4 linked regions of the Canis lupus familiaris genome follow. The protein of the gene in region 1 interacts with the protein of each later gene in a pairwise test. Links are inferred from orthologs where the notes say so. Each region holds a gene or a part of one and is shown in the gene's direction. Other genes may lie near its edges.

Region 1 (7,953 bases):
ACTGGCTCCTACGGTGGGAATGGTGGGCCAAATGTACATTGCCAGGACAGGGGAGATTGTGAGGAGAGGTGAGACCTGATTGCCCAGGTCCAGATTATGGGTCAACCAAAAGTTACATCCTCTCAATGACCAACTCCAACAACTCACAATTGCTGATCATAGGTTATTTTCCAAATTTTAAATCTCTGAGTAAAGTTTTTTAATCCCTCTGACAAATTGGTGCAGTTCTACTTTGTGTATTCAAAAGTGCCATATTTGATGAATACATTAGTGTGGTGGACAAAGTGACGTTCTACCCAGATCTCCCTTAAGTGAAGGACCTGTTACTCTAGCTGCAGGGACAACTGCTGGCAGATGGCTTTCAGATGTTCTTTTCTTCAGGGACTGCCTTAGCTTAAGAGAGCTGCCTCATTTCAAGTTCATGCCTATTCCAATACAGCCAAATGATTAATGTTAGTGTATAAAGGACTAGACAACTCGAATCAACTCGAGACAACTAAAGGATGATCCTTGCTCCAGAGCTCCCTGGAGGGCTGGCCAAGACTGCCATTGGCCCACACATGTTAGTTCTTAATCAACACCCTGCCTGCTAAACTCTTAAGACATGATATTATATGAAAAGAACCCTCCTAGGACTTAATGCAATGCAGTGTGTGCAGAAATAGCATTATTATTCATTTATAAAGTTTATCTTGCCTAACTCCTAAATGAATTTGAGGCAAATAACAATAATCATAGTATTAAACTGGTTGAAACAGCCACACAAATGCAAACTTTATGTTTAACAAGTAAGGCTTCTTCCCTGTGATTAAAGTTCAGTATTTCAAAGCAAAATTCTAATTGAATACCAATCACAAATGAACAAACCTCTATAAAGATATTTTCTAGCTCTTGCATCTGTGCAAGCACACATACAAGAAGGTCACAAAAAATAGAAAATATTTATGCAAATAATGATGGGAGAGGGGGTGGTGGTGGTGGGGGTAGAGTTAGGGCTATGTGTGTGGCTTAGAGAATAAAGAGGTAGACTTAGAGACTCCTATATTCCTTTAAACAGAAAAACAAGGCATGATTTACCAGGACATATTTTACTTTTATACACAGGAGTATTGAGGGAGAAAAGTAATTATCCATTTATCCTATGGCTTCTGTTTTGATACCACAGCTACTACATGGAAGGTCCTGAATGAATGGAAAACAAGCAAGAGAGAAATGATAAATATTATACCATTAACTCTAAAACTGTTTAGAGTTATTGAGTATAATAGGGTATTGATGGATACAAACCCTTCTTTTTAATCTGCTATGCAGTTATGGAATCAGATACCATATCATTAGCTCACGAAAATATTGTTGGGTTAGCTAAGGACAGACAAGGGTAGAACTTCATTTCCAAGGTTGGAAACTCATGACTGATTTTGTGAACGTCTTTCTCACTATGGCATGGACAGTGAATATTCTTGACAATGCCTGGAGCCTTCAGAGGCTGGGAAGAGAGTGGACAACTAGAGGATTTAATATAAACCACAAGGTATCATTGCAAGCTTCAGCCCAAACATTACTCATTCATCAGAAAGCCTTGTCATCTCTCAGTATACAAACGTCCTCGTCTTGTCACAATCTGCCAGTCTTCTTAACTGGGCTAGCCCAACCTTACCATGGCACGTGTCATAAATTCATCACTTGGATGCCCAGTCTGACTTTCTGTCCCAGGTCAGGAAAGGCAGGGGACAGCCAAGGGAGGCTGGTTTGGACTTGAGCAGAGCAGCTCATGTAGCAGCTAGTTTGCTAGCCAACCAGCAAAATGAGCATGGAGCGGTCCAGGAACTCGTATTCCCCTGTCAAATTCTAAGTCAGAAAGTAGCCAGTTTGTGCTGGATGCTCAGAGCCTAGCCCTAGTGTGATTTCTTCCAGGGCGGCACAGCAACCCAGTTGTGTGTGTGTACGTGTGTGTATGTGTGTGTAGAGTAGGAACCTTCCCTCACTAGCCACCACACCATCTGTAGGCAGGAGGGGCCTCTGTGGATGCCACAGACCATTTCTGGGCTGGCTTATTGAAGGATGGCCACACAGAGGTCATAGGGGGGTGTTCTCTAGATCTTGTTACTTAGCCCGCACAGGGGACCAGTGGCAACAACATCACCTGGAGGCTTATTTAGCTTGCAGAATCTGAGGCACCTGGACAGACCCAGTGACTATGAATACGCCTTTTAATGCTACGGCACGTTGAAGTTTGGGAAGCCCAGGTCCAGGTGGTAGCGAGGCGCTTAGCGGAAGGATCTGCCTCTCGGCCCCGCCTCCTCCCCCTCGGCTCTCCTCCCGGGCAAAGCCCAGCCCCGCATTGGTCCTGCACAGGATTCCTGCGAAGCCGGAGCGCGCGTGGAGGGGGGCGTGCAGGGGCTGCGCTGGCGCGGGCAGCGGCAAGCGGCTGCGTTCTCCGGCTCGGCTCGGGGCTCCGCAGCGTGGAGACCCTCCCCGACCCTCCCCGCCTCCCCTCCCCCAGCCCCCCGCAGCTGCTGCTGCCTGCCTCCCGCCGGCTGCCGCGAAAACCCGGAGCAGCTGCGTGCGCTCGTGGAAAGTCCTCCTAGGGGCGAAGCCGGGCAGCTGGGCATGCTCAGTAGCCGGCGAGGCTTGGGTGGGGAGTAGGGAGCCGCGGCTCTGCCTCTCCCGCCTCCCTCCGGCCCGCGCCTCCTCGCCCCTACCCAGCCCGTAGTAGTTGCCGGCGTGCGCCCGCGGAGACCCGGAACGTGGCGCTCCGGGCGATGTAGCGGCGGCGGCGGGAGCGGAGAAGGCGCCGCCAGCCAGCCGCCAGGTAGGCAGGCGCGCCCGGCTGCGCGGCTCGGGTGGGACGCGGCGCGGGGAGGGGCGCTGGCGGGGATGCGCGCGGCCGGGACCCGGCGTCCGGCTTCCCCCGCCGAGGATGCGAGGCGGGCGTCTGACAGCGCGGGGTGTGCATCGCCTGGAGATGCCGGAGGCTGGGGACCGGCCGGCTGCAGGGCGGGGATCCGGGGACCGCCCCCGCCCCCGCCCCCGCCCGCTGCTCTCCAGCCGGGGCCCTCCGCGGGTCGCATAAAGGATAGTTCCTTTATCCGGGGGGAGAGGGCGTGGGGGGCACCCCTGGCTGCCAGCTCCGGGAGTGTCTGGTCCCCTGGACCGCTAGCGAGCGCGGCGCCGGTTCTTTGTGTGTACAGCCGCGCACGCCCGGGGGTGCCAGGGTGCCTGCTTCGCCCCACGACTGTGGCACATATTGCCAGGGCAGGGTTTCCGTATGCTGTTTGTCTCTTGGCAGGTGTGGACGGGAAGATGTGCTAGCGGAGCCTTTATGGGGCTGTGTTTTCCTTTGTTACTTGCCTCGGTGCGTGTGTATACGTATGTGTGTGTGTGCGCGTGTGTGTGCGCGCGTGGAGGGTTGTGATGGAGAGGGAACTTCGGCTCCTGGGCACGGGGGTGGGCAGAGCGTGGAAGAGGATCTTGGTTCCAAACTCTTGTCAAAATCGCGTGTGATGTTGGCCTCCCGGAGGGTAAACTTGAAAAGTCCAGAAATCCTCTGTGCCCCGTTTGGAGGAGAAGCGTGTTTGCCCTCCCGGAACCCATGTGTGTGTAGCTGGAGCTTGAACCATGGGACGCGAGTTAATTCAACATTAGATGTCGGTTAAGGGAATTTGAAGCATTGGGGCTGTCTGTGGTGGGTTGTTGTCGTTGTTGTTTGTTTTTGGGTCAAATTAATAAATAGAGAAGTTGGCAGTAAGCCAGAGGAAAGTGCCATCCTTAATAGCTGGTGACAGGTTGGAAGGCTAAATACACTTTTGGGGAAATTGAGAAACCTGGCATTGCACAAGGTTCGACCGAGAAATAGCCATTGGCTCAGAGGTAACTCAAAATACCCCAGCACATCCCATTTTTCTTCTGGGGTTTGACGGTATGTACACACAGTCTATCTCACCTGAGTCCAGATGGACAAGATAGTCTTGAAAAGCCCCTCCTACACTAGAATTTTATGAAACTTGACACCCCAGAATAACAACTCTGCCACCTTATATTTCTATATCTGTTATATTCAGCAGCACAACTCACTGAGTTAGGGAGGGAAGGTAAATTTAGAATATGCTTTTATTTTTTACTTCATAATTTAAAGGATGGACATCAATTTAAAGGATGGAAAGGTTTGAGACACTTTCCTCCATACTTAGAGTATTTATTCATATGGCCTCCTAAGGTGGCAAGAAGGAGTCAGTATCATCAAAATGAAATGGGGAGTGCTTGAGGAAAATGAATTTTAGTAAATGAAAGCCATAAATGTCTAATCTGATGGTAATACCTTGACTTGGAATGCATATGTGCAAAGCAGAAGCACTGCTAATGGAAGCAATAGAGTTGATGGCAAGTTTATTGATAGCATTGATCTTAGAATAAGATTTTTGTGTTCCTCTGGGAATGGGTAAAGATCGATTATACTAGGTGCCTGCAACTTGGTATTTTGTTAATAAATGTGAATTTTAATTGCAGGCATTGAAAAGAGTTTGGCAGCTCCTCTGTCAGTTTGCTTCAATGCTGCAGGTGTAAGAGGCAGGTGTTCTGGGACGTGGTATCCTCTTGGTGATGAGACAGCTGAGTTTGGGCTCTGACTCCTCCGTTCCTAGCTTTGTGTTCTTGGGCAAGCTATTTAACTCTATAGAGCCTCCGTTTCTCCCATGTAAAACAACCCCGGGAATAGAGAGACTTACCTAAATGGCTTGGTGTGTGGATTATTTGTAATAGAAACCACCAGGAAAATGGTGGTGGCCGTTAGAAGAGGAAGGGAAATGGATATTTATTGAACCTATACTGTGTGCCCTGTGTTCTGTTAGTTACGCCCAAACAAGTAATCTAACTCTCTAAGCCCAATTAGTTTCCTAGGGCTGCTGTAAGAAATTGCCAAAAACCAGGTGGCTAAAAACAAAATTTGTTCTCTCCCGGTTCTGGAGGCTTGAACTCCTTTATCAAGGTGTAGACAAGGCTGTGCTCCCCCTGAGGCCTCTAGGGGAGGATCCTTTTTTGCCATTTTCAGCCTGTGGTGGCCCCAGGTGTTCCTTGGTTTGTGATAACTTCTCTCCAGTTTCTGCCTCCATCTTCACATGGCAAAGTTCCCTTCTTAAAAGGACCCCATTCCTATGAATTTAGGGTGCATTGTAATCTAGTATGACCTCAACTTGATTATATCTGCAAAAATCCTATTTCCAAATAAGGTCACATTTATAGGTTCTGGTTAGGCATGAATTTTTGGAGGACACTATTTAGTCCAGCGCATCAACATCTCTGTGATCTGTATTTCATGACATGATTATTTCAGCATATGAATAGAAGGTCAAGATGGAGTATTACGGGTTGTGGAAAGACTTTAAAGGTTATTGAATCCAGCTAACATGTATGAGGTTTCCCAACCTGGTAGGGAAGAGCAGCATTCGAAGGTACCAGACAAATGTCACTTATGTGGACACCCCCAGATGACCCAGGATCTCAGTCTCCTATAGGCTACCTAACCTGACACACCCTGTCCCAAATGTGTTCATTAATGTTGCCTCCTCCCTTTTTGCTACGCCACCAACACAATGCAAACAAATAACAGAAGATCGAATTGAACAAGAAAAATGACAGGAGAAACAAGAACATCCCAATCTGAACACCTTTCTGATCTTTCTAATCTTGGTAAATGGCACCACTGTACATGGAATTGCTTTTACCAGAGACTCGAGAATCGTCTTTGACACCTTCATTTCCTGTGCCCTCTATATCCCAAATCATCACAAAGTTACATAAACTTTGTCTTCTACATGTATATATCTTGATAGATTCTTCTTTCCATCCCTACCACCACACGATCAAACCTCAGGTCGTCATCTCTCCTGGATCACTAGTGTAACTTTCCAGCAAGATCCGGAGCTCCTTGCTTGGCACCTCCAATCATTCTTCTAGAGCAGATAGGATCATGTCAATTCCTTGCATAAAATACATTCACATACCTGGGATAGGTTCCAGAGACTGAGCCTTGGGTATTTGGCCAGACTTATGTTGGTCACACCCTCTTGCTGCTGTTAACATGGTCTCCTGTCTGTTGAGTATCACAAGCACTTCCCTTATACTTTTTCAGTACAAACTATACTCATCCTCTGGGCACCCTTGCTCTCCTTTTCCCAGCAGCCCCATTCTCCTTACCGCCTTTCTAATTTGCTTCTATAGCACTCACCTTAATTTGCAATTTCCTATTTATTTGTTTGGCTGTTTGTTAAATGTCTGTAAACTGATGGCCATTTTTTTTGTGTCTTGCATGTAGAAGATGCTCAATAATGGCAAATGAGTGAAGGAATGAATACTCTTACAGCATTTTTCTGTGCCAACTTTTAAAGATCTGATTTTTTAGAAACTTTTTTTTTTTTTTTTTTTTTTTACTAGTATAAAAAGAGCAACTCATTCTGACTTCAAAAAAGGAGTATTCTTGGCTTTAACAAATGCATCTTCTAAGAATTGGTTTTAAGCAAGCAGTTAAGAATTGAGTCAAAATATTTTCTGGCAACTGAGGTTTTTGTAAAAACCCATCAGTCAGTCAACAAACATTTCACACATGTATATTGGACTTTTATACTTGCATGCTAGGCCTTAGGGGGACAATGGAGAGCTAGACTTTTAGCCTTCCAGAGATTAATCATAAATAATAATGTGTAATAATAACATTATTTATTGAGCTGTTGTTACATTCCAGCTTCTCCTCAGTCCCTACCTATCCCTACTCATTCATTACTAGATAGTCCTCCAATCTCTCCCAGTAACACAGAACCCAAATCAGATGCACAATAAATATTTCATGAATTAATAATTAGTAGATACTATTATCCTGATCTTTTAAAATAGGAGACTTAAGCTTATCTGTGGAAGAAAGGAATCTGCTCATATACAGAAGAGCATGCAGCTTTTTTTTTTTTTTTTTTTAATATATCCAGGTGGGCTCTGTTCTACTTTTAAAATCATCCTGCCTATTGTCTCTGGGGTTACAATAAGAGACAAATTGCTCTTTACACAAGAGCAAGTTCCTGGTGTGTTTCTTTGTCTTCCATAGTTGTCACAATTCCTAATCAGCAGCTGAATTGTTTTTGACCTGTTTAATCCAAGTGAGAAGTGACTGAATGTCTCTTTCAGAGCATTTTTGGGTAGTTTTGAAAACAAGACTGAGTACTCTGGAGAAAAGAATGTGGCTCAGCGCAGGAATGCAGGGTTACATTTTGAATTTCTGGGATGGCCTCAATTTCATGTAATTTTATTTCATGAAAAGTGCTTTTTTAAAGTAAATAACAACATTTAATGAGTATGTTTAACTTTTCACCTAAGTAACAAAAAATGTGTCTTGATTTTGTTTAAAAGTGATACACAACCAAGTCAACTAAAACCTGAAGGAACTAGGAGCTATTTCAGTAAGATGGTTGGGTATAAACTACATTTTGAAACATCAATGGCTACCCCCCAAAATGCCTGTTTTCACCAACTACAAAATACAATAGGAAGTGATTTTGCTCATAAATCCCACAAAAATATAAATTCAAGAAAAATAGGAAGTGTATGTAAAATACTTGGGAATAATAAGAAACATCTAAAGACTTGTTTAGAAAGCTGTAAAATTTTACTCAAACACATAAAATAAGAAATGAACAAATGAAAACATACTATTCTTGGGGTAGAAAAATATTATGAAATAGTTATTTTTCCACAATCAATCATACAGTTTTATTGCTTTGGGAGTTGGGAAAACTTGACAAAATGATTCTAACATCAACCCACAAGAAGTATAGGACTATGGTCAAGAAGATTGTGCTAAAGAATATATATGTGGTGGCGGCAGGTTGCCCTCACAGAAATAAAAATCTGGTCATCGAACTATATTATAGCAATGTAGTACTGGTGTAAGAATCAATAGATAGCTCACTG
Region 2 (7,000 bases), on another chromosome or scaffold:
ATCTCTTATTACTTTATTATCATTAGGAGGGCTTCCTAGAAATTTAATCTTCCTAGGAGATGAAGATTTGAGTCTGAGTAGCTCACTCTCCTTTTTAAAATATTTTGTTATTTGGGACACACCTTGAACTAACTTTCTTTCGGGTTATTTTATGACTGTCAGCCAGTCTTTCTTTTAGCACATTTCTTTGGGGGAGTGGGAGGATCAGATCTGTGTGTATATTCTTTCCTGATTATATAGAAAGGAGAACACATCCACAGACATGTAACTCTAGAAGAGACAGAATAGGGGCACCTGTCTGGCTCAGTAGCTGGAGTGTGTGACTCTTTATCTTAGGGTTGTGGGTTCAAGCCCTACATTTGGTGTAAAGATTGCTTAAAAATAAAATCTTTTTTAAAAAGGAGAGAGAACAGACAGTAACCATTTGAGTATTTATACTGCTTTACCTATTAAATCAGTAGCAAAAAATGAAGCATCTCCTGTGTGTTACAACTAGCATTTGGTGGGCTTTGTATTTTTCTCCTTTTTTAAAAGTGTTGCAACTCATAGCCTTTCCTAAACTAAGCTTGTACCATTAACTAATTTTGTTCTCTTTATTGATGTTCAGATTGTCCTTAGAAGCCAATCAGGTTCATTACTCTGTTCTTTGAATTACTACCCCAGATATTCTTGAAAGCATTCCTGTTCTCGGGCAACAGTGCCATGCTTCATTGATTTCTTGTCTTTAAACATAGACTCAAACCATCTCCTGAGGACTTCAGGTTCCTTTGAATGGAGTAGTCTATTCAGTTATTTATTCAGCATATGTTGGTGCCTACTATGTGCTGCATACTGTTTGGTTCCTGGGGATACAGCAGGGAACAAAGCAGATCAGTCTGTGTTCTCTGCCCTTACATAGCTTACATTCTAGTCAGGGGAGTCAGACAATAAAAAAAGAAGTAAACGATGTAGTAGGTCACAGGTTGGCAGTGCTACAGAGAACAGCCCGGAATGGAGAGGAGAAACATTCCCCAGAAAAAATTTTTTATGACTTTGTATGATGACAAATGGTAATTAGTTTTACTGTGGTGATCGTTTGACAGTGTATCCAAATATCTGATCATTATATTATACCCCTGAAACTAAGGTTACATGTCAATTATACTTTAGTAATTAAAAAAAGGAGGAGTGCCTGGATGGCTCAGTTGGTCAAGCCGCCAACTCTTCTGCTCAGCTCTTGATCTAGGCTCAGGGTCCTGGGATCAAGCCCCATGTTGGGCTGGGGGGGGGGGTCTGTGCTCAGCGGGGAGTCTGCTTGAGGTTTCTCTGTCCCTTTCTGTCACTGCCCTCCCTCTCTCTCTCAAATAAATAAATCTTTTAAAAAAATTTTTAAATAGGAAAAGAAACATTGCCTAGGATGGAGCAGTTGCAATTTTAAACAGAATGCTTGATTGGCTGTAAGGTGTGAAAGTTTTGGGCTGAACAACTGGAAGGATGGAGTTGCCATTATCTGAGAGGGAGAAGATAGAGGAGGAGCAGATTTGCAGAGGAGGATCAGGAGTTCAACCTAGGACCAGTTAAGTATGAGGTGCTTATTAAACAGTGAAGTGGAGTTTTTGAAGAAGGAGTTAAAACTCCCAAGGCTGGAGAAGGGTCTGAACTGAAAATATAAATCTGGAAGATACCAATATCTTGGTATTCAAGATATGGGTTCATAGTGCTGTATTTTTTTCCATTTTAACATTCTATGTTGTTACCTTCTACTCTCCTTACCATATCTAATTTGCCTTAAATTGATTTCTGCTTGAACAGATAGCTGAGCACAACAATGTCTGCCTCCCTTAGGACAGTATCAAGACCCTGTGTAAACTAGCCCCTTCCTACCTCTGGGACCTTTTCTTGGACCACTTTCCTTCCACCAGTCACTTAATTCCTAACACCCTGACTTCCTGACTGGTCCTCCAAAAGCTCCTTCCTGCCTTGTGGCCTTTTTGGGGAAAAGACCCTCCTACTGTTTAACTCTTACTCATTCTCATTCCTCAGAAGGGCCTTCCTTAGCCCTTTGTATCAATTAGGATTCTGTTGGCTGAGTCTGATCCCAATCAGCTTAGAAGATAGAAGGAATTGGGGTGCCTGGGTGGCTCAGTTCAGCGACTGCCTTCAGCTCAGGTCATGATCCCAGGTTCCTGGAATTGAGCCCCGCAATTCCAAGGGCTCTGCTCAACTGGGAGCCTGCTTCTCCCTCTCCTTGCTGCTCCCCCTGCTTGTGTTCTCTCTCTCTCTTTCTGTCAAATAAATAAATAAAATCTTTAAAAAAAAAAAGAAGATATAAGGAATTGACCAGTATATGTAACTCAGCAGTCAAGGGCCAGAGTGGTTTGAGGCAACTCCAGCTTTCCAGTTGCTTAGGCCTTGGCATCTTCCTTAAGTCCTCTCTCTCACACCTGACATTCAACCATTTGGTAAATCCTGTTGACTCTACCTTCAAAATATATTACAAATGCAGTCACTAATCATCACCTCAGCTGCTGACACTGCAGTCTAAGTCTCCATCTCTCACCTGGGCTATTACAGTAGCCTTCCCACTGGACTTCCTGCTTCCACACTAGCTCTCCTTATCCTCAGTCCTCCACACAGCAGCCAGATGAATCCTCTTAAACCCTGGTCAGTGGGGCACCTAGGTGGCTCGGTCAGTTAAGCGGTTAAGCGTCCGATTTCAGCTCAAGTCATGATCTCAGCAACCTGGGATTGAGCCCCACATCAGGGGTTATACCCTTAGTAGGGAGTCTGCTTCTCCCTCTCCCTGTAGCCGGACAGGAGCCCTCCCTCTCCTCATGCACACACATGTGCTCTCTCTCTCTCTCTCAAAATATTTTTTAAAGAACCCTTGTCATTTCACATTCCTTTTCTGATCACAAGCCTCCCTTGGCTCCAATCTCACGTAGAGTAAATGTCAAGAGTCCTCACCATGGCCTTGTGAGTTTTACATGATCTGCCTCCCCACCTTATCTCTCTGACCTCACCTCCTACAGTTTCCCCTTCCCTTATTCTTCAGCCATGCCAGCCACTTTGCTGTGCTTCAAACATGCCAGGTACACTCCTACCTCATCATTTTTCCATGTGTTGGGCCTTGTGTCTGGAACATTCATCTTCCATCTATCCTCATGATCATCTTCTTTAACTCTTTATGCAAATGCTTCTCGCACAGCCATTTGTAAGTGCTCTCATTAGAATTGCAGCCCCCCACTCCTGCACTCATCCTCTCTTATCATTTAACTTTTTCATTTTACTTATAACCCTCTGAAATACTCTATATATTATTCCATAATTTGTCCCTCTTAACGAGAACTTGAGCTCCATAAGGCTGAGATTTTTGTCTGTTGTGTTTGCTGTTATCTCCCAGTACCTAAAATTGCCTGGCATAGAGTAGGGATTCAATCAATTTCTTTGAATCAGTGCAGCCCAGATGGTGGCCAGGCATCTCTGCATAGGAGCAGGTCAAGTAGTAACATGTCCTACCACCTGCCATGTGGAAATCATCCAGGACATAGGCAGTTCTTGAAGTGATGAGGAAAAATCATCTTCATGAGCCTAAGTGTGGCCCACTCGGCCCTTTCTTGTTTCTTTTCTCCAGGCTCAGCGACAGCCTCACCAAGGACTCCATGAATATCAAGGCCCATATCCACATGTTGCTAGAGGTGAGAGTACCTCACCCCATTCCCAGACTCTGTCTCCAAATGTATTCAGGGTGGTGTGACCCGACGAAGGGAGAGAGCCAGGGATGGGAAGGACCATTTTCCTCTCTAAGCAGGAACCAGGCTGGCTCTGAGGGAGGGGAGGTCAGAGCAAGCCTGGGCTGAGGCCTAGACAATCTCTGTTCAATCTCTTCTATCCTTTTTTTCAGGGGCTTAGAGAACTACAAGGCCTGCAGAATTTCCCGGAGACACCTCACTATTGACTTCTTCCCGCCTCCGTAGACATTAAAGAGCCTGAATGCCTTTGAGTCACATGGCCCTTCTTTCCCCACCTCAACCCTTTGCTGTTTGCTAAGGTGCCCTGTTTCTAAAGCACAAAGTTACCAGGAACCCCAGAGAGCCAGTCTCTATGTGGAACCTTTAAAGCACCCCTGAAGTCCCGCCTCCAGCCTGTTGCCTGGCAGCATTTGCCACTTGACTTTCTGCACTGCCCTCTTTTCTGTCGCCTTGGAAACCTGGGCCTCCCACCTGACCCTTTTATCTTCCTGGACGTAACTGTCTTAATCATAGAGAATGGGCTGATTCAGGGTGGAGGTTTGTTCCCAAGACAATCAGCCTTTCATTCCTGGCCCTAAAGTTTGCCCCTCTCCCCCACCCTAATCATTACTGGGGTACCTTAGATTACACCCACGCCCGTCTCATTCCAACCTTGGCCTCACCCGGCTTCTAACTAATTTCAGCTTCCACCAATGGGCGCAGAGCCTGATCCCGCCCTACCCCGGCCGGCCCCTATTTTAGGTTGAGTCTAGCTTCCGCCAATCATTGCAGAGCCAGGTTCCGCCCCCTTATAACTGGCTGAGGCTCAACGCTGACCTCCTCGTAGGCTTTAGTTTCCGCCACTCAACGCTCCTTTGCGTGCCTGGCCGCTGTCCAACCCTATCTCTGCTCTGTCCTAAACTCGTCTTTTCTACCCAATCACGATAGAGTTATCCTCCCACCTACGCACAGTCCTGGCCCGACCCCCTCCCAGCCTGCCGCTACGCCCACTTCCATATAAGTCCCGCTTCCGCTGAGCAGCGTGGAGTGCAGCACCGCCCAGTTGGTGTTTTGGCAGCTGTCTGGAGTCCCTAGTCCGCCAATCAGTAGAAAGCAGAGTCCATCCGCCCCTATCCTCGGAGGCCGTCTTCCATGCAGGCCAATTATTATCAGGCAGGCGCCCCCAGAATCTTGTCAATCGCCCACAGGCTGTCAGCCTTGGGCCAATCAGCGTGAAGCGCCAGCGGGGCCCAGCACGCCCCCTCGGAACCCAGGCGGCTATCTGCGTTCCATCAGTTCTCCTCGGGCCAATCATGGCCTAGCTCTGCGGGGCAGGGCCCGCCTCCCCAACCCTGGAAGCCGCGCGGTCGAGCCAAGGCGCTGTGTCCAATCAACCAGCCGCGGAATGCTCGGCTCCTCCTCCAGGGGCCCACGTGAGCCGTGAGGAAACGCAGGGGCGGCTTCTAGGTGCCGCCGCCGCCGCCGCCGCCACCGCCGCCACCGCCGCCACCGCCACCTCGGAGCCCGGGCCTGGGGGGCGGTGGGGCTGCGCATGGAGCCCCCGCCCCCCGGAGCTGCCAATACTGCCACTGCGCTACACACAGGTGAGCCCGGGGCCTGGAGGGTGGAGGGCCCGTCCGTGACCCCACGTATCCTTCCCGCCCCCGCGCGAGGGATGTGGCTTGGCCCATGGCCTGCTGGTGTTCAACTGCCCACCGCCACCGCCACGGCTGGTGGACCTGCCTGTGGTATTGTCCCCTCCCTTCGCCCCTTGTAGTCGATCTGACCGTGGCCTGACCCCCCTTCCTGTTTTATAATGGATCGGTCTGCGTGCTTATAGTTCTCCCCACCCCACCTTACAGTGGACTCGTCCGTGGTCCTGCCCCGCCCCCACCCCCACTTAGAGGGGAGCAGCCTCGGGCATTGTCCCTCCTTGACAGAAGGTGCATCTGACTGTTTATTTTCTCCTGTCCTCAACTTTCAAGGGCCCCGTCTGTGGCCTTGTAGTTCTGTTCCTTGTAGTGAATCAGTCCATGGCGTGTTGCACCCCCCCCGCACCCCCTTTAACAGTGAGTTAATCTGTGAAGTTGTATTCCTGCCTCCTCCAGTCCCCCAGTGCATCAGTCCCATGGTTTTATCTTTTACAGTGTATCGGTCTGAATGCTAGTATCCACATCCCTTGTCGTTATCAGCCCATTGCCCTAGCCTCTTTTTTTTTTTTTTTTTTCAGACTGTTTCTCCAGCCCTTGGGCTTCTCTCTTCCTTTTAATAGTGGGTCAGTTTCGTGTTTTTGAACTCCCCATTTTCAGTAGCTCATTCCATGGCCTTGTTCCCTTCTCCTTTTAATGAGTCCGTGTGATGGCATTTCACCCCATCTACTCTTGTGCAGAGTAGATGCCTTTCTGCTCCCCTTGCCCCCCATAAAGAAGATGAGCCTTTGCACTCCCCTCCACCCCCGCCTTTGCAGTGGATCTGTTCATTGGCCTTCTTGTTCCCCATGTGCTTGCATCCAGGCACACACCCCCATACCCTCCCCTGAGTCCAGTGCTTTGTAATCTCTTCTCCAGGAGGGTGCTTTTATTTTGTCCCTCCTTTCCTTGTGGTGGATCAGTCCATGGCCTTCCCTGCTTCCTCTCTTCTTAATGGTGGATCATCCTGTGTGCTTGTTGAACCTGGCTCTTTTTTACTCTAGAACACATCCCCCTCGTACACATCATTAATCCCTAAGACATTCTGCCTCACTGCAATAAACGGATGCATTCAAGATAGCGATAATGCCATTAGGAGCTAACGTTTATTGAGCACCTACTAGGTACCTGGCAAAGTGCTTTATATCCATGACCTCATTTCGTCCTCACCACAATCCTGTGAGACAGGTACTCAGGAAAGTTCGGCACAAGGGGCTCAATACGTTATTCAGAGGTAAGTACCCAGTTAGGTTGCCCCTCAGAACACAGAATAATTTTTGAGGATCCCCTTTCTCACTTCATCCCATGCCACATGAGACCCCACTCCTTAAAAAACAAAGCACCTCCCGTCTCCAAGCTTTTGTTTTTGCTAGTTTCCCCCCCGCCTGCAGAGCTGTCTCCATTCCACACTTTTTCTCAGCACCCATCCACCCGCAATCGCAGCAGCCATATGATCTGAGTGATTTAACCACTTTCTCTCCGCACCTGCTTCCTCATTTGTAAAATGGAGGCATCAAAACCAGAATCCCCTCCAGTGTGAACATATCTGAGAGTTAATAAGACAAGTAACCTCTCTGGCTGCACCTCCTGCACCTTGTCCCT
Region 3 (8,220 bases), on another chromosome or scaffold:
AAACTGTCTTATTTCTCCCCCCCCCCAAAAAAAAAAAAAAGTGCCTTTAGGTAGCAGTGGTTACCTACGAAGTTTAGTTTTGCATTGAATGTAGTGTAACCTCAATTAGTTGGAAGGGGTTACCTTATCTAAGGTAGTTAGAATCACTGAATGGCAAGATAGACATGACATCACTAAACTATTTTCTATGTATCCTTCTCCCTGCCCGCCCCCCCCACCACCACCCCAACCACCCAGACTATACACAATTTCTCTGGTACACCAAGGGCTAATAAAGACTCAAAAAGGCCACTGCCAAACAAGCTCTCTTTAAATGAATAATACTGAGCAGGTGTTCTAGCAAACAGTTGGAGAGGTGGTAGGGATTGTAATAACTAGTGCCAGAAAGGATCAGAAAGCAGAGGGGAAAGTACCCAGGGATCCTCACTTCTTGATCCCTCACCACAATTGGAAAAATCAACATACAAAAGTTCCAGACATTTGTCAAGAAGCCTAAAGAGATGGTGAGGTGCAGAACCTCCTCCAACCTCTAGGTTGGAGACAGAACCAATTAGGAACTTCCCTGTGAGTCTGGGCAGCATTTGACACAGGACCACTGTTATACCTACTTGTTATAACTTTTGTTGCTCAAAGGCACTTCTGCAGTCTACAATGTAGAGAATATGATTAAATCTTCCTGTGACTGCCTGGGATTCTTGCCCAACCTCAAGGCCATTATTCTGAGCTTTGGTTCTTGCTGCACTTAACTGATGACAGAGAAGAAAGTATAAAGATGGCAGCTGCATATATCTTCAAGCCTCGAAAATACCTGAGAAGCCAGTCATTTGAAACATTCCTGAAACTCATTACTAAATCTACACATCTTTATAAATAATTTCATAGCGAATAAGTGGCTCATTTTCTTTCTTTTACAAGAGTACATAATTGAGTCTTACATTTGCTTATTTTTCTAATTTCTAATTTGCTCATTTTTCTAATTTTTCTATAAAAAATAATCTCTTTTCAATTATTTAAGTGATAGACTAACATTCTAATATCATCAAATATAAATGACAGTGGGAGTAAAGGGAAGGAGAAAAGGTAAGGAATGTCCATTTGACTTGCTTTATATTTAATCAAGTTTTCTTCAGAGCAGTCAAAACAATTACTTTCAGATAGGGAATTTCAGATCTCAAAAAATAAGATCCTGATGTGAAACAGTTTTATTACATAAACACTGATATATTACCTAAAGCCTCACATGAAAATTTCAAGTATAAAAGATTTAGAAATTAATGCAATTTAGATACTTTTATTCGTTTTAAGTAAACAGTTCTTAAACTCTGATTCTAGGCTGAGAAGATTAAATCTGACAATAGAAAAAGCCCAATCAAATGTATGTTTGAGCAAGACATTTTCAAAAGAAATGTTAATAATTTAATAATAAAGGCTACCATTTAGCAAGTATTTACTGTGTTCTGGGCAGAGTGCCTACCTTTTTATGTACTTTGCTTTATTTAATCCTCTCAATAACCCTATGAATAAGGTACTTTTACTTGCCAGAAAAGAATGGAAACTAATGTGATTTAATAACTTAAGAGTCACATAGCTAGTTAGTAACCTACGATTTGAAAATAAGTTTTATTCCAAAGTCCATGTGTTTATAGTGTCCACAAGACTACATATTCCACAAGGACAGGTACCAATATATTTTGTTCTCCACTGGCACATGTTTCAATAGATATTAGTAAGTGAGTATATATACACATATTCCTAATTCTGTAACTAAAAGCCAAAAGAGAAACATGTACATTTGTAAACTCACACATTACTGTAGTGAATACTTTTTAAATGTTTTAAATTGTCCGTTTATACTCATTATGTAAGTTTGTTTTCAAGAAGGATGGAGGCCTCTTCCCCATTTGAAAAGCTGCATTTTGTCAACCAACCTATTGTTGTGGCTGGGGTGTTATTTTGAGGTATTACGTTTCCTCCCTGGTTTTCCCTCTCTTTTCCTCTGCACAACTCTGCCCCCGTTTTGAGGCTTGGTTCTGTGACATTGCCTCAAGAAAAGACACCTCAGGGAAAAGAGAAGGGATACCAGTAAATCTTTCAGATTTTCACTTTTTATAGCTCAGAATGCCACTAACCAGAAAGAGTTCATGATAGCAGAGACATCCAAGTACAGCTCTGAGAACTGATTAACTCTTTCCTCATCAGTCCTCAGACCCTTCTAATGTAGACCCTTCTCATTTGTAAGGGATCGAAAGAGGAGGGGGGTCCAGGAAGGCTTCAGGCTAATTATTTTCCCACCTACCTGGCATGGGCCCCCTTCACACCTGGGTCTGTGGACTTAGATTCATAGTCACTACAAATATTTTCCCATGTACTCTCCTCCTTCCATTTTAAGCCATTTAAAAAAAAACAAACAACAACAACAACAACAACAACAAAACCTACCAACTTTTAATTAGCTCAAAAATAAAATTCAGGAAACTGGTGAAGACCAAGAATTCACCTGCCCCAGCTCCATTCTTTGATAAATCGTACAAAAAGCAAAATAAGGCAAGAATTCATGGATTTTCCAAAGCCCACAAGGAGAAACCTATAGAATACACCACCGCATAGAAAATTCACCACCTCTCCAACCTGTGACGAAAAATCAAGGGTTTACTTTGTGTTTTGTAATTAGTCGCTGTATTTTTACAAAGACGACGCCGAACAACTCTACTGAGCCGCAGGGAACAGACACTCTCAGTACATTCTGGAATGATGTTCTGGCCAATCCGGCTGGCAGCAGAGACCTTACCCGGGACAGAGCGCGTACACCACTTAGTTGGACCACCTCTTGGTTGAAAACACTTTAGGAAACTCTCCACGGAGAGAAGCTGAGAGGCAAGGGGCGTGGCCTCAGGGGGCGGAGAATTTGGCTCCGGGATAATGGGAAGTGTGTGCCGATTGGCTGGACTTCTTCCCTCCCAGGCCAGCCCTCTTTGGACGGCTGGGGCCATCCATCAAAGGAAGTGCACCAATCAGAAGCTAAGCCGCCCCTCTCTCCCGCCCACCAGGGGCAAGCCCCGCCCTCCAATATATTACTCAAGCGGTCAGGCGCTGCCCCTTCGGCTCCGAGCTGACCCTGTGGTGGGCAGTGTCGTCCGGGCGGCGCTGCGGAGACCTCCGCCCAGGACGGCTCCCCCTCCCCGGGCCTCTCCCCTCTTACCCGCGAGTCCCCTCGCCTCGTGGGCCTATCGGATCTGTTATCGCGGGGTGAGGTGAGAGCAGGCCCGGGGAGGGTAGTCACGGCTGAGGAGCCGCAGTCGCGGTCAAGGTGAGCGGGGCCTCGGGGGTTGGCTTCGCGGTGCGGCTGAGGAGCCGGGTTGGGGGTGAGGGGTGAGGGGTGAGGGGTGAGGGGTGAGGGGTGGGGGGTGAAGGATGCGGGGCGAGGGGCGGGTCCAGCCCGCGCTCTTTCCCTCGCTTCACTCTCCGGTTGCAACAAGTCCAGGCTAGTCGGAGCTTGGAGGGGCGGGGCCAGTCTTACTGTCCGGTCGGCGGGGTCCCGGGGACCAGCCCACGGCGGAAAAGCGTCGGGCCTGTAAAGTTAGTGCTTCCTCGTCGGCGCTTCCCTTCAGTCGCGCAACTTGAAAGATCCCCTGCCGCCCGGTCTTCCCCGTGGTGTGGGAGGTACGCTCGTGCCGGGCTTCCCTTGTGGCCGGGACGTACTAGCTGTGGAATAACCGACTCTGAGATTAATGAAACTCCCAGGTGCATGCTGCAGCCTACGGTACCTCACGCCCTCGCGACGTGTTAAGCTTCACCAATAAAAGTTAACGATGATGGAGCGCGGTGTGTCAGGCACTGTGCAAAACTCTACATGAATCATCTTGTTTGAATTTTAACAGCCACTCGGAGAGACAAATGTTGTTACCTCATTTTACAACGAAGTAAATACTATTGTCCAGTGTTTATTAGGTGCCTTTGTGCTAAGCCCTATACCTAGGTGATCTCGTTTTTCCACACAAGCCTGTGAGGTAGGTAAGAACCTCATACCCACTTTACAGATGAGGAAATAGGGATTAAGTAAAATTAACCAACGTTAACAGTTCACAGCATGGCAGTTCAATATAGGGCGATTACATACGACCGTCCAATCTCAGAGTATCAATACTCAGTTATCTCTTGGCAGTGAATGACTTGAACAAGTATTTCTTGAAGATTTTTAATGTGTTTGAGGCATGGCTCCTGTCCTCTAGGAAGTCACAATCTAGGATGTGACCAACTGGTCGGGTGGGGGTGAGGGGTGGCTGTAACAGACGGCACTTTGCAAGGACTTAGATTCACTGGCAGCATTGGGGGAGGGGAAACTTGTGTATAAAGCACTTGGCATGCTACAAGGCAGGAAGGGCTTTTCTTACACTCCTTTCTGGGCCTTGTGCTATATATAGATGATAGAAGTACTGACAACAACTGAATCTCAGAAACTGCTACACCAGCTGAATGCCCTATTGGAACAGGAGTCCAGATGTCAGCCAAAGGTCTGCGGCTTGAGACTAATTGAATCTGCACACGATAATGGCCTCAGAATGACTGCAAGACTAAGGGACTTTGAAGTAAAAGATCTTCTTAGTCTAACTCAGTTCTTTGGCTTTGACACGGAGACATTTTCTCTAGCTGTGAATTTACTGGACAGATTCCTGTCCAAAATGAAGGTATGTTTAAAGCTACATTACACTAAGTATTTCTTGGTTTTAGTCATTTCGTTTTGGAGGTGAATTTCTCTAGCTTTGGGCTGGTATTCAAAAACTTGACCTTTTTAATTTTCAGCAAGTAGCCAAAACATTTCGATGATTCTGTGTACTCTAGCATTAGTGAATACTCTTCCTTCATAATCAAGAATAATGTATAATTAGAATCAACTTGACATTGAAAAAATAGTCTATTAGCAAAAAAGAAAAGAAAAAGAAAAGTGTTAGCAAATAATTGCAGACTCCCAGTATGAGAGTTGGCTGTTGTTTTTTAAAATCTTTCTTGATAGGTTGGGTATTTTCATTTATCTACTGTTGTTTTTAAATTTAAAGAAATGTGTTATAGGCAGAGTGCTAGATTGTGGTTAAGAATTACAGGTTTGTTCTGTTTTGTTTTATATTGTGAACCACTTGGTCAATAGAGTATACTTCTTAATTTCTAGTCATATATAAAGTTTTAATTGTTTTAGCCCTAGTCCTATTCATATATTGTTTAGCTTGCTATTTTCAACATCAGTTGGCATACGGTAGAGAAAAGAGTATCTTCTGAAGGAAGAGCATTTATGTAATTATTTCCCTGTACTGGATAAGCAGGACATCTGTGTAGATTTCAGAACTTGCTTACTGTTAAAAATATATCTGCCTTTTGTGCCCATGGTCATGAGTGGATGAGATGATGTGACAAATGGAAAGAAACTCATCTTTTAGTCTTCAGTACCTGACACAACACCTCATACACAGAAGAAATTCCACATTTGTTGAATTGGATGGTTCAAGAAACTTGCTCAACAGACTAATTTTTTAACTATTGTTTAGACACCATGTGCCAGCACTACCTTTGAATCTACAAATGTTGCACAGATTAATAATAATACATCTGTCCCTTAAGTATATTACAATCTTATATGAAAATAATGTTTGTACCAATAACTATAAAACAATGCAAGGAATAAGAGAGATACTTAAACCCCCAAAGAGAAATAAATATGTTGCTGAAGAGATTCCAAGAAAAGGAGGACACACACACTGTAAAAACTTCTTAAAGTTTCATTTAACGTGTAACTTCAAGTGGATAGAAATTTGATTCTGTCACATTGTAGACATTCAGGAAATGATAACTATAAAAGATTGGCAGTGGATAGAGCTTTACAGGCAGAGTAAATAGTGTGTGCTAAACCATTTAAAAGCCATTTTACATGTGTTATTGAAAAGAGCCTAGAAAAACACGACATCTTAGAAAGATATTTTGTGCATAAGCCATAAGGAGCTTTGATCCTCCTATAAGCCTTTGATCAGTTAATTTATTTGGTCCAACTAGAACATAATGCTTACAGTTCTACAATGATTTAGGAAGGAAAAGAAAAAAAGAATTTCTTATGGGCTGAAGTTAAATATTATCCTGACAGTCCAGTTTCTCCAAAATTGATTCCAAGTGGATACATAGTGTTGACAGGCTAGAGTTGAGGAATGATTGGATCTCTATTAAGTCCTTCACAGTTGAGAAATAGATCTCAAAGATACATTTTAATAATAATGTATCTGAGTTCTAGATTATTTTATTTGTTTATTTTTTAATTAAAATAAGCTAAAGAGGGATACCTGTGTGGCTCAGTGGTTGAGCATCTGCCTTTGGCTTGGGTCATGATCCCAGAATCCTGGAATCGAATCTGGCATTGGGCTCCCTACAGGTAGCCTGCTTCTCCCTCTGCCTCTCTCTCGCTGTGTCTCTCATGAAATAAATGAAATCTTTTAATCTTTTAAAAATAAATAAAATAAGCTAAAGGCATAGTCTCATTGTCATTTTAGGTACAGCCCAAGCACCTTGGCTGTGTTGGGCTGAGCTGCTTCTATTTGGCTGTTAAATCAATAGAAGAGGAAAGGAATGTACCATTGGCAACTGACTTGATCCGAATAAGCCAGTATAGGTTCACGGTTTCAGACTTGATGAGAATGGAAAAGATTGTATTGGAGAAAGTGTGTTGGAAAGTCAAAGCTACTACTGCCTTTCAATTTCTGCAACTCTACTACTCACTTATTCAAGAGAACTTACCAATTGAAAGGTATGTAATCTTTGTTTTGACCAAAGGAGATTTGGAAATCAAAATGGTATTCTGGATATTGCATAATTCAGTATTTGAATTTGGTATAATTCCAATCAAAAGTAAAATGAAGGGGGTAAAAAAGTACAATGACAGCTGCAGCTCCTTGGATTTCATTTCACTGTCCAGCGAAAGTGAGACTTTCAGTTGTCAACAGCTTTTTCAAGTCTCTGAAGGCTAATTCTTGGGATTAAGGGACATTTCAACTTTTTTTTTTTATTACATTTTCCACTTATAGACTACTTAACTCCTAGAACCTAGTAAATATCTACCAGATTTATGGAAAAAGAACTCAGTAACTGCAGAAATAGATTAAAATGAAAACTTGATAGTTGTAACATGATACTTTTTTGGTGGGGGTAAAATTATTTTAAATTCATGTATGGTATCTTCAAGAAGTTAATGCTCCTGAAGGAAAGGGAATTCTTCAAATGATTTATTTTCTGTGATGTGTACGTAAATTTCATTTTAAAATGACTTAGATGTTGTTCTAAACATCCTTCGTTGACTACATTCTACATAAAATTAATCTAATTTTCATTTTCTTTTTAAAAGGAAGAATAGCCTTAATTTTGAAAGACTAGAAGCTCAACTTAAGGCATGCCACTGCAGGATCATATTTTCTAAAGCAAAGGTAAATATTTTATAAAGATTAAACTGATTTATATACCTATTTTCAACTCAATACTTACTTAAAATTTATCTCTTTTAGCCTTCTGTGTTGGCATTGTCTATCATTGCACTGGAGATCCAAGCACAGAAGTTTGTAGAGTTAACTGAAGGAATAGAATGTCTTCAGACACATTCCAAGGTATGTCAAGGTCATAGCCTAAATGGTGTTAACAGCTATAAAAGAAACTAAACCACTTGTGTACTAGCTCCTCCAGTAAAATGAGATGTGTCTGTTTGAAACTTGAGTAGCTTATCCTCAGATTTATTTAACAAGGAAAGACACATTAGTAAGATCACAATTATTGCTGTAGTTATATACTGTAGGACCATTTTTTTAATTTTAGAGTACAGTGGGGGAGGAGAGAGAGAATCTCAAGCAGACTCCCTGCTGAGCACCAAGCCCATGGGCTCAATTCCATGACCATGAGATCATGTGTGACCTGAGCTGAAATCAAGAGTCAGATCTTGGGCAGCCCGGGTGGCTCAGCATTTTAGTGCCGCCTTCAGCCCAGGGTGTAATCTTGGAGACCCAGGATCGAGTCCCATGTCAGGCTCCCTGCATAGAGCCATGTCTCCCTTGGCCTGTGTCTCTGCCTCTCTCTCTCTCTCTCTCTGTCTCTCATGAATGAATAAATAAAATCTTTAAAAAGAAAGAAAGAGAGAGATCTTTAACCACCTGAGCCATGCAGGCACCCCATGTAGGATTTTCTTTTTTTTTTTAAAGATTT
Region 4 (7,482 bases), about 7.5 Mb from region 1:
TTCTCCCATTGGACTCCTGAGTACCAAGGGTGATCAGAGAGGAGAGGCCCACAATTTTTTGCTCTTGGCCTCTTGTTGTCCTTGGTGTGTGTAAGGACTGTGGTGCCGAACTTTTGTCTCTTGCGCTTGTTCTTCATCTTTGGTCCAACTTTTCCCACCATATTTTCCTGAGTCCAGAGCTTTCCAATCTACTTGCTTTGTGTTTAGCCATGTAAATAGGTATTGAAAAAAATATATATAGGTTACTTTTGTATGTCTTAAAATTTTTTTTTACATAGATGGTACCTGGCTATAAATCTCATTTTTTCTTAATTTCTAAGAAAAATTTAAGTTTTTCTATGTGTTTATATATATAAACTTTTTTTTTTTTAAGTGGGTTCCATGCCCAGTGTGGAGCCCAACACGGGGCTTGAACTCATGACTCTGAGATCAGGACCTAAGCTGAAATCAGGAGTCGGGCACCCAACAGACTGAGCCTTCCAGGCACCCCTTAAGTGTGTGTGTGTGTGTGTATGCAAGAATTTTATTCATGAGAGACACAGAGAAGCAGAAACATAGGCACAGGGAGGAGCAGGCTCCCTGTGGGGAGCCTGATACGGGACTCAATCCTAGGACCCCGGGATCACACCCTGAGCCAAAGGCAAGATGCTTGACCACTGAGACACCCAAGTACCACTATTTTTTAAGTTATATTTTAAGTTCTATTTTCTACCTTTATCTGTGGTGTTACAATTTGATCTTTTTGTTCCTTCTAGCTCCTATATAGTCTTCCATTGTGAGCTTATTTTTTTTTATTTCACCTCCACTTTGTTGTTCATGACTAGGTTATGACAAAGATCCCTTGTCATGTCCCCTGTGCCTTTGTGCACAAGGTTTCCTCCAAGAATGGGGGTTTGGGGTCAAAAGGTGTCAGCTTACCTGAGGGTACCACATACTGCTAGGCTGCTTTCCAGAGGATTTGCAGCAGTTTCAGTGGCCACCTGCCGTGTCTGGGGGTCCCCATTGTCCTCACACCTATATGAACAAAAAAATCAAGAAATGAGTAATACCAGTGTGATGGGCGTGACATGGCACCCATTGTTTCAACCTACATTTTTCTGAGTGCCAATAAAGTTGAATAGCCCTCTATATACAGTTGTCTGCTCTTTTGCTCGTTCATATCTTTTGCCAGATTTTCAAGTGGGTTTCCAGTTGTTGTTGTTGTTTTTTTTAAGATTTTATTTATTTATTCATGAGAGACCCAGAGAGAGAGAGAGAGGCAGAGACACAGGCAGAGGGAGAAGCAGGCTCCATGCAGGGAACCCAATATGGAACTTGATCCCGGGACTCCAGGATCATACCCTGGGCCGAAGGCAGGCGCTAAACTGCTGAGCCACCCAGGAATCCCCAGGTTTCCAGTCTTTTTTTTTTTTTTTTTAAATATTTTTAATTTTTATTTATTTATGATAGAGAGAGAGAGAGGCAGAGACACAGGCAGAGGGAGAAGCAGGCACCATGCACTGGGAGCCTGATGTGGGATTCGATCCCGGGTCTCCAGGATCGCGCCCTGGGCCAAAGGCAGGCGCCAAACTGCTGCGCCACCCAGGGATCCCTCCAGTCTTTATCATCATTCATTTTCCAGGCATTCCCTTAATGTGCTAGTTATTAATTCTTTTTCATTTGTAACCATGGCAAATATCTCACTCTCGCCTGGCCTGTTGCTGTCTGATACTGTTGCAGTGTCTGTCGTTGAAAAGAAGCTTTAAACTTAGAATAGTCTCAAAGATAGTACATTTTTTCTTTTGCAGATCTTAAGAACTCTTTCCCCACCTAGAAATCACTATATTACTTTTTCCTATAGAAATAGTTCAAAAACGATTTCTCAAACTTCAGGGTGTAGAAGGAAAGTCCTAGGATAAGTTAAAAGGAAAAAGAAGACCTCACAACACACAGTGATGCATTTTTACACCCACCAGGTTGGCAAAAATTTTTAAATTGGACAGTGACAATGTTGCTGGCCACATGGAACTACAAGAACTCTCATTGACTTTACCTTAGAAATTAAAAGTTCTTTTCCCACAAATACTCTATAGAAATTCATCCACCTGTCAGCAGATGTATGCACAAGTGTTCATAGCAGCATCATTTATAACAGCTCACCTGTACACAGTCCACATATCTATCAGTAAGTGATTGTGTACCTTGCAGCATGCTCATAAACTCCACACTATATACAGCCATGAACTGTACTGCAATGGAGTGCTGCATAGTGGACTATATATGGTTAAATGTTTTGACACAGTGAAATCTCATAATATTGAACGAAAAAGGAAGTGATGAAGGTGATACAAATTCAAAAGCATTTGAAGCAGTATATTTTTAGGTTTTTTTGTATAGTAACACAGCTATAAGGAAAAGTAAAGAAATTTTTAAAAAGGCAGAGTAGCGATTACCCAAGAGGGGAAGGAGAGAGATTCATTAGGAGTACTGTACTTGAGGCTTTGGTGGTGGTGGTGTTCTATTTCTTAAGCAGGTGGCACATGTACAGGTATCCACTTGATAATGTTTTATCTCATACATATGCTATATTTTATTTGTGTATGAAAATTGTTCATAATTTCTGTGAAACCACTACAGTATGGAAGGGATTACCCTAGAATCTTTATTTTTAGTCAACACTTTGGTGATCCTGTTGCAGATGGTCCAGTTCTGAACTTAGAAAAAACATGGTCTTAGAATTTCACATTATCCCTTCAGGAAATTGGCCTTATTCTTGGCGGGGGGGTGGAGAGGAGATTCTTACTAAAACAAGGCTACAGATTCTGGACAGGTTCTAGTACTGTGTCATCAAGGCAGTCAGCTACAAGGGAAGGAGTACTGGAGCAGGAGTCCAGAGACCTAAGTCCCAGACCTCTTAACTTGGACATTTTATTTCTCTTGACCTCCATATCCTCATCTGTGAAATGAAGAAGTGGGATTAGATTATCTCTAAAATCCTTCATAGCTCTGTGTTCTGAGGTTGTGAACTTACTTCTCTCAATCCTGGTGTCTTCTCAGCCAGGTCCCAATGATAAGAAATCAGAACTGCTGCCGGCTGAATGGAACAGCAATAAAGACCTGTATGTCCTCCGGTATGAGTCTAAGGATGGGTCCAGAAAGCTCCTTGTGAAGGCTGTCACTGTAGAGAACAGCATGATCATCAATGTGCTGGTGAGTCTCAGGGATGTGTTGGCATCTGCTGGTGGGAGAGGACATTGGGATCACTTTTGTGTCACTCATTTAACAGTACAGATCAAGAGCCTTAAATGTTTGTGAGGACTTTACCCAATGACCTTACTCTTGGAACCAAGACAGGAATCCTCAGTATAGAACAGCTTTGTGCTCAAAGAGGTTCACCTTCTAGTATTATCAAGGGAGGGACTTTCCATCACAGGGGAATGATTACATAAATTAGGGTAAATCCTTTCAGTGACAATAGGGATGAAAAAAGCATACTGTAGGCCCAAGGGGCTACTTTTAGTCCTTTAGAGAAGCCTGCTCTCTGCTATCCTGGTGCCCTTACATTTCTCCTTTTCAGGGATGGAAAACTTTTCCCTGCCGCCATGAGCCACCCCATATGCACCCTCTTCCCTTCTAACTACCTACTCTAACCTGCCAGCAAAATCTAAATTATGCCTTTCTACTTCATCCTTTTATTTCCTTGCTGGTACTTACAACAGTTTGTAACCATGTAGTTATCCTTTGGTTTGATATTTGTGTTCCGCCACTGGCCTGTAAGCACCACAAGGGCAGTGACTGTCTTCTTAAGTTTGTCCTGGTTATCTCCATGTGCTCATATAAAATTGCATTGTACCTTGCTTTTTTCATTCAATATATTTTGGAGGTCTTTACGTGGGAATGCATAGAGATACACCTTATTAATTTTAACTACTATGTAGTTTTCTGTAATACCATAATTTATCCCTTTCTGTTTTTTTTTCCCTTTATTTAAATTCAATGTAGTTAACATAGAGTGTATTTATTTGTTTCAGGGGTAGAATTTAACGAATCATGAGTTGCACACAACACCCAGTTACATCGCATGCCCTCCTTAATGCCCATCACCTAGTTACCTACCATACCCCCACTCCCCTCCCCTCCAGCAGCGCTCGGTTTGTTTCCTAGAGTTAAGAGTTTTTTATGGTTTGCCTCCTGCTGTGTTTTTATCTTATTTCATTTTTCCATCCCTTCTCTTATGTTCACCTTATCCTTTTCTGTTTTGATGAACATTTAGATCTTGTATCAGACAGGGTTCTTAGTTATAGAAATCCCCTCAAGTTAGTTAGACTAGGTTTATTAATAGAACTGGGATAGCTTATTGAATTGTTAGGAGGAATTGTTTCTCTAAAACAGGTTCAAGTCTGGGCTTTCAAGACAGTGCCTCAAACCACCCCATGGAAACTAGTCCTGCTGCCACCACCCCAGACATGAGCTGCTGCTGCATGAGGTGCTGACTTATGCTCCAGGCCCTAGAGCCCCTTCTAATGAACCACTGATGCATCTGCTGCCCCCTCATTAGGGAGATGTCTGCCCCTTGCTGGGCCTGCTTTTCCATGTTGCCCACCTCTAAGCCAAAGACGTGCATCCATTTGACACCTCAGTTATATGCCTGTGCCCAGGAAATAGGTTTACTGGGCTCTGCCTCAGAAAGGCAGTATTTCTAAATAAGCATCAGAAGGGTGTTTCACATATCACAGATGTTCCTGGTATATTTCTTTGTGCATCTGTATTTCTTTAAATTGAATATTTAATTGTTATTCTCCCCTTAGCCCAGAAATATCCCGTCTCTCGTTTTCTGTTTTCATTTTTCTAGGAATTTGGGTCACAGCAGGTATCAGATTTGACCCTGAACTTGGATGATTATATCGATTCAGAACACCTGGGTGACTTCCACAGGTACTTCTAAGGGATGGCTTTTCCCTGGGAAAAAGAAGAAACAATGGAACGGGGTGGAGAAGTTCAGAGAGCCAAGAAAAATTAATAGAATGGTCTTTGTCTCTTGGGCATAGCCATTTCTCAATTCTCTTTTTTGTTTTTCAATTTATTTTAAGAGAAGATTCACATGGGAAATGCCGCGTGAAGTAAAATGATGTAAGCCTGAGTCCGCAAGTGTTTCGGTGGCTACAGGGGAGAGGTGGAATCAGGCCAATGGAGTCAGTAAGAATAGGCTCCTGGAGAAAAGGTGTGCCTAATCTGGTCTCCACCTCCAGCTTTTTCTTTTAAATGGACTTAATTTTTTCGAGCAGTTTCAGGTTAACAGCAAAACTGAACAACAAGCGCAGAGAATTTACATGAATAGGTCTGCCTCCAGCCACCTCGACACAGCCTCCACTATCAGCTTACTGTATATTTGTTATAATGGAAGAACCTGCATCAATATACATTCTCACTCAGATTCCATATTTTACATTCACTTCACTATTGGCAGTGTAGGAGTATGTTTAACCTTTACCTTTTTTTTTTTTTTTTTTTTTTTAAGATTTTATTTATTTGAGATAGAGTAAGCCAGAGAACATGAGCCGGGGGCAGAGGGAGAGGGAGAAGCAGGCTCCCTGCTCAGCAGGGGCTCTATCCCAGGACCCCAGGATCATGACCTGAACCAAAAGCAGACAGTTAACCAACTGAGCCACCCAGGAGCCCCAAGTATGTTTATTTTTGTACGAAACTGCTGTAGTGGCTTCCATAGTGGCAGTACCATTTCACATTCCCACCAGCAGTGTATGAGAGTTCCTGTTGCTCCACATCCTTGTCAGCATTTGGTGGTATTAGTTTTTCAGATTTGACCGTTCTAATTAGCGTGTAGTAGTATCTTTTAATTTACAGTTACCAAGTGACCTATGATGACCTGGAGCATCTTTTCATATGCTTATTTGGTGAGGCGTTTGTTCAGATCTCTGGCATTTTTTGATTGGTTTGTTCTCTTACTGTTGAGTTTTAAGAGTTCTTTGTATACTTTAGCTAACCATCTTTTATCATATATGTGTTTTGCAAATATTTTCTCCCAGTCTGGCTCATTTTCTCATTCTCCTGACTTTTTATTTTGAAATTTGCTACCTTACAGAAAAGATGGTTTACAGAAATATTGCAGTGAACACCCATATACCTATCACCGAAGTTTACCAGTTCTTAACATTTTGCCACATCTGCTTATTTTTTCTGTGCGCCATTCTGTTCTTAAACCACCTGAGAATTTTTTTTTTTTAGATTTTATTTATTTATTCATGAGACACACACACACACACACAGAGGCAGAGACATAGGCAGAGGGAGAAGCAGGCTCCATGCAGGGAGCCTGATGCGGGACTCGTTCCCAGGTCTCCAAGATCATGCCCTGGGCCGAAGGCAGTGCTAAACTGCTGAGACATCCAGGGATCCCCAAACCACCTGAGAATTATCTCCAGGCTTTGTTAACCTTCACCCCTAAATATTTCAGCAGTAGCTCCTTGTTCGTACAAGGGTATTCTCTATAATCTTAACACAGCTCTCACACTCAGGAAATGTAGCGCAGATACGGGAGTATCCCTTAATACACCATCTACATTGATATTTCTGCAGCCGTCATGCAGTGTCCTTTTTAGCTAGTTTTTTGAGTGTTTGGTTTGAGGGTTTTTTCTTACCCAACCAGAGATCCCATATTGCATTTATTTTCATGGCTCCTTAATTGTCTTTCATCCTGAACAGTTTTCCAGATGTTTGTTTTCCACGGCTTTGGTATTTTTGAAGACTCCAAGTCATTTATTGTGTAGAATGTTCAGATTGTTTCCTCATGATCAGATTTATTAGGTTATCTGGTCATCTTTGATTCAGACTGAACATTTTCAACAAGAGCACTCCTGCGTTCTCCTCAGCATCTCACATCAAGCCCAGACGTCTGTCTCGTTGGCTCTGTTCAGTTTGATCACTTGGTTATGACAGTATCTCCCAGCTCCCTCTCTAGTAAAGGTGTCTATTTTCCTTCATGCTTAAGAAGTGATCTGCGGGATTCTACCAGCAGACATTGAGTACTCTGCTTCCTAGTGGTCTTTCATCTAGCCGTCTCAGCATCTGTCAGTGTTCTCACCTGAGTCCGTTAAATAGTGACGCCTGGAAGAGGGTAATTTTCTATCTTAGGCATTCTTTCCACATTAATCAGCATTCTGTACAAAAAAAAAAAAAAAAAGAGTTTCCTATTCTTCCTGTCCCCTTTACTTTTTATTTTTTAAAATACCAGTATAGACATAAGGATTCTTCTGTATTCTAGGTTATGGTCTGTTTCTGTCATTCTCTGGTTGCTGTTGTTCAGGAGTTGACCAGTGGAAACCCTTTCACACTACCTCCTCTATCCTTGTGACATGTCCCCATCATTGGTCAAGCATCTCATACTTGCTGGTACAGTGAGATGTTCCAGCCTCACCTTGTCATTTCCTTGGCCCTGCCTTGAAATCAGCCGGTTTTCTCAGAAGTCTTGACTTCTGTTAGTGGGGA

What was found.
Region 2: the proteins of PAK5 (region 1) and UXT interact in binary tests that used the Homo sapiens proteins (3 or more experiments, as listed by UniProt). The two-hybrid records come from large-scale screens. The link is inferred for Canis lupus familiaris from reciprocal best matches to the Homo sapiens genes PAK5 and UXT.
Region 3: the proteins of PAK5 (region 1) and CCNG1 interact in binary tests that used the Homo sapiens proteins (3 or more experiments, as listed by UniProt). The two-hybrid records come from large-scale screens. The link is inferred for Canis lupus familiaris from reciprocal best matches to the Homo sapiens genes PAK5 and CCNG1.
Region 4: the proteins of PAK5 (region 1) and PSMF1 interact in binary tests that used the Homo sapiens proteins (3 or more experiments, as listed by UniProt). The two-hybrid records come from large-scale screens. The link is inferred for Canis lupus familiaris from reciprocal best matches to the Homo sapiens genes PAK5 and PSMF1.

What each region holds. Positions count from the first base shown.
Region 1 is NC_049245.1:12,851,118-12,859,070, forward strand, and holds the start of PAK5 (serine/threonine-protein kinase PAK 5), read left to right. Parts: upstream 1-2,586; 5' UTR 2,587-2,812; intron 2,813-7,953.
Region 2 is NC_049260.1:41,471,220-41,478,219, reverse strand, and holds the end of UXT (protein UXT), read left to right. Parts: intron 1-3,613; coding exon 3,614-3,677; intron 3,678-3,883; coding exon 3,884-3,937; 3' UTR 3,938-3,982; downstream 3,983-7,000. UniProt on the Homo sapiens protein: Involved in gene transcription regulation. Acts in concert with the corepressor URI1 to regulate androgen receptor AR-mediated transcription. Together with URI1, associates with chromatin to the NKX3-1 promoter region.
Region 3 is NC_049225.1:48,695,391-48,703,610, reverse strand, and holds the start of CCNG1 (cyclin-G1), read left to right. Parts: upstream 1-3,080; 5' UTR 3,081-3,307; intron 3,308-3,878; 5' UTR 3,879-4,007; intron 4,008-4,421; coding exon 4,422-4,685; intron 4,686-6,527; coding exon 6,528-6,781; intron 6,782-7,375; coding exon 7,376-7,454; intron 7,455-7,532; coding exon 7,533-7,631; intron 7,632-8,220. UniProt on the Homo sapiens protein: May play a role in growth regulation. Is associated with G2/M phase arrest in response to DNA damage. May be an intermediate by which p53 mediates its role as an inhibitor of cellular proliferation.
Region 4 is NC_049245.1:20,352,410-20,359,891, reverse strand, and holds part of PSMF1 (proteasome inhibitor PI31 subunit), read left to right. Parts: exon of another isoform or gene 1-195; intron 196-918; exon of another isoform or gene 919-1,014; intron 1,015-3,010; exon of another isoform or gene 3,011-3,036; coding exon 3,037-3,189; exon of another isoform or gene 3,190-3,217; intron 3,218-4,831; coding exon 4,832-4,914; intron 4,915-7,078; exon of another isoform or gene 7,079-7,154; intron 7,155-7,482. UniProt on the Homo sapiens protein: Plays an important role in control of proteasome function. Inhibits the hydrolysis of protein and peptide substrates by the 20S proteasome. Also inhibits the activation of the proteasome by the proteasome regulatory proteins PA700 and PA28.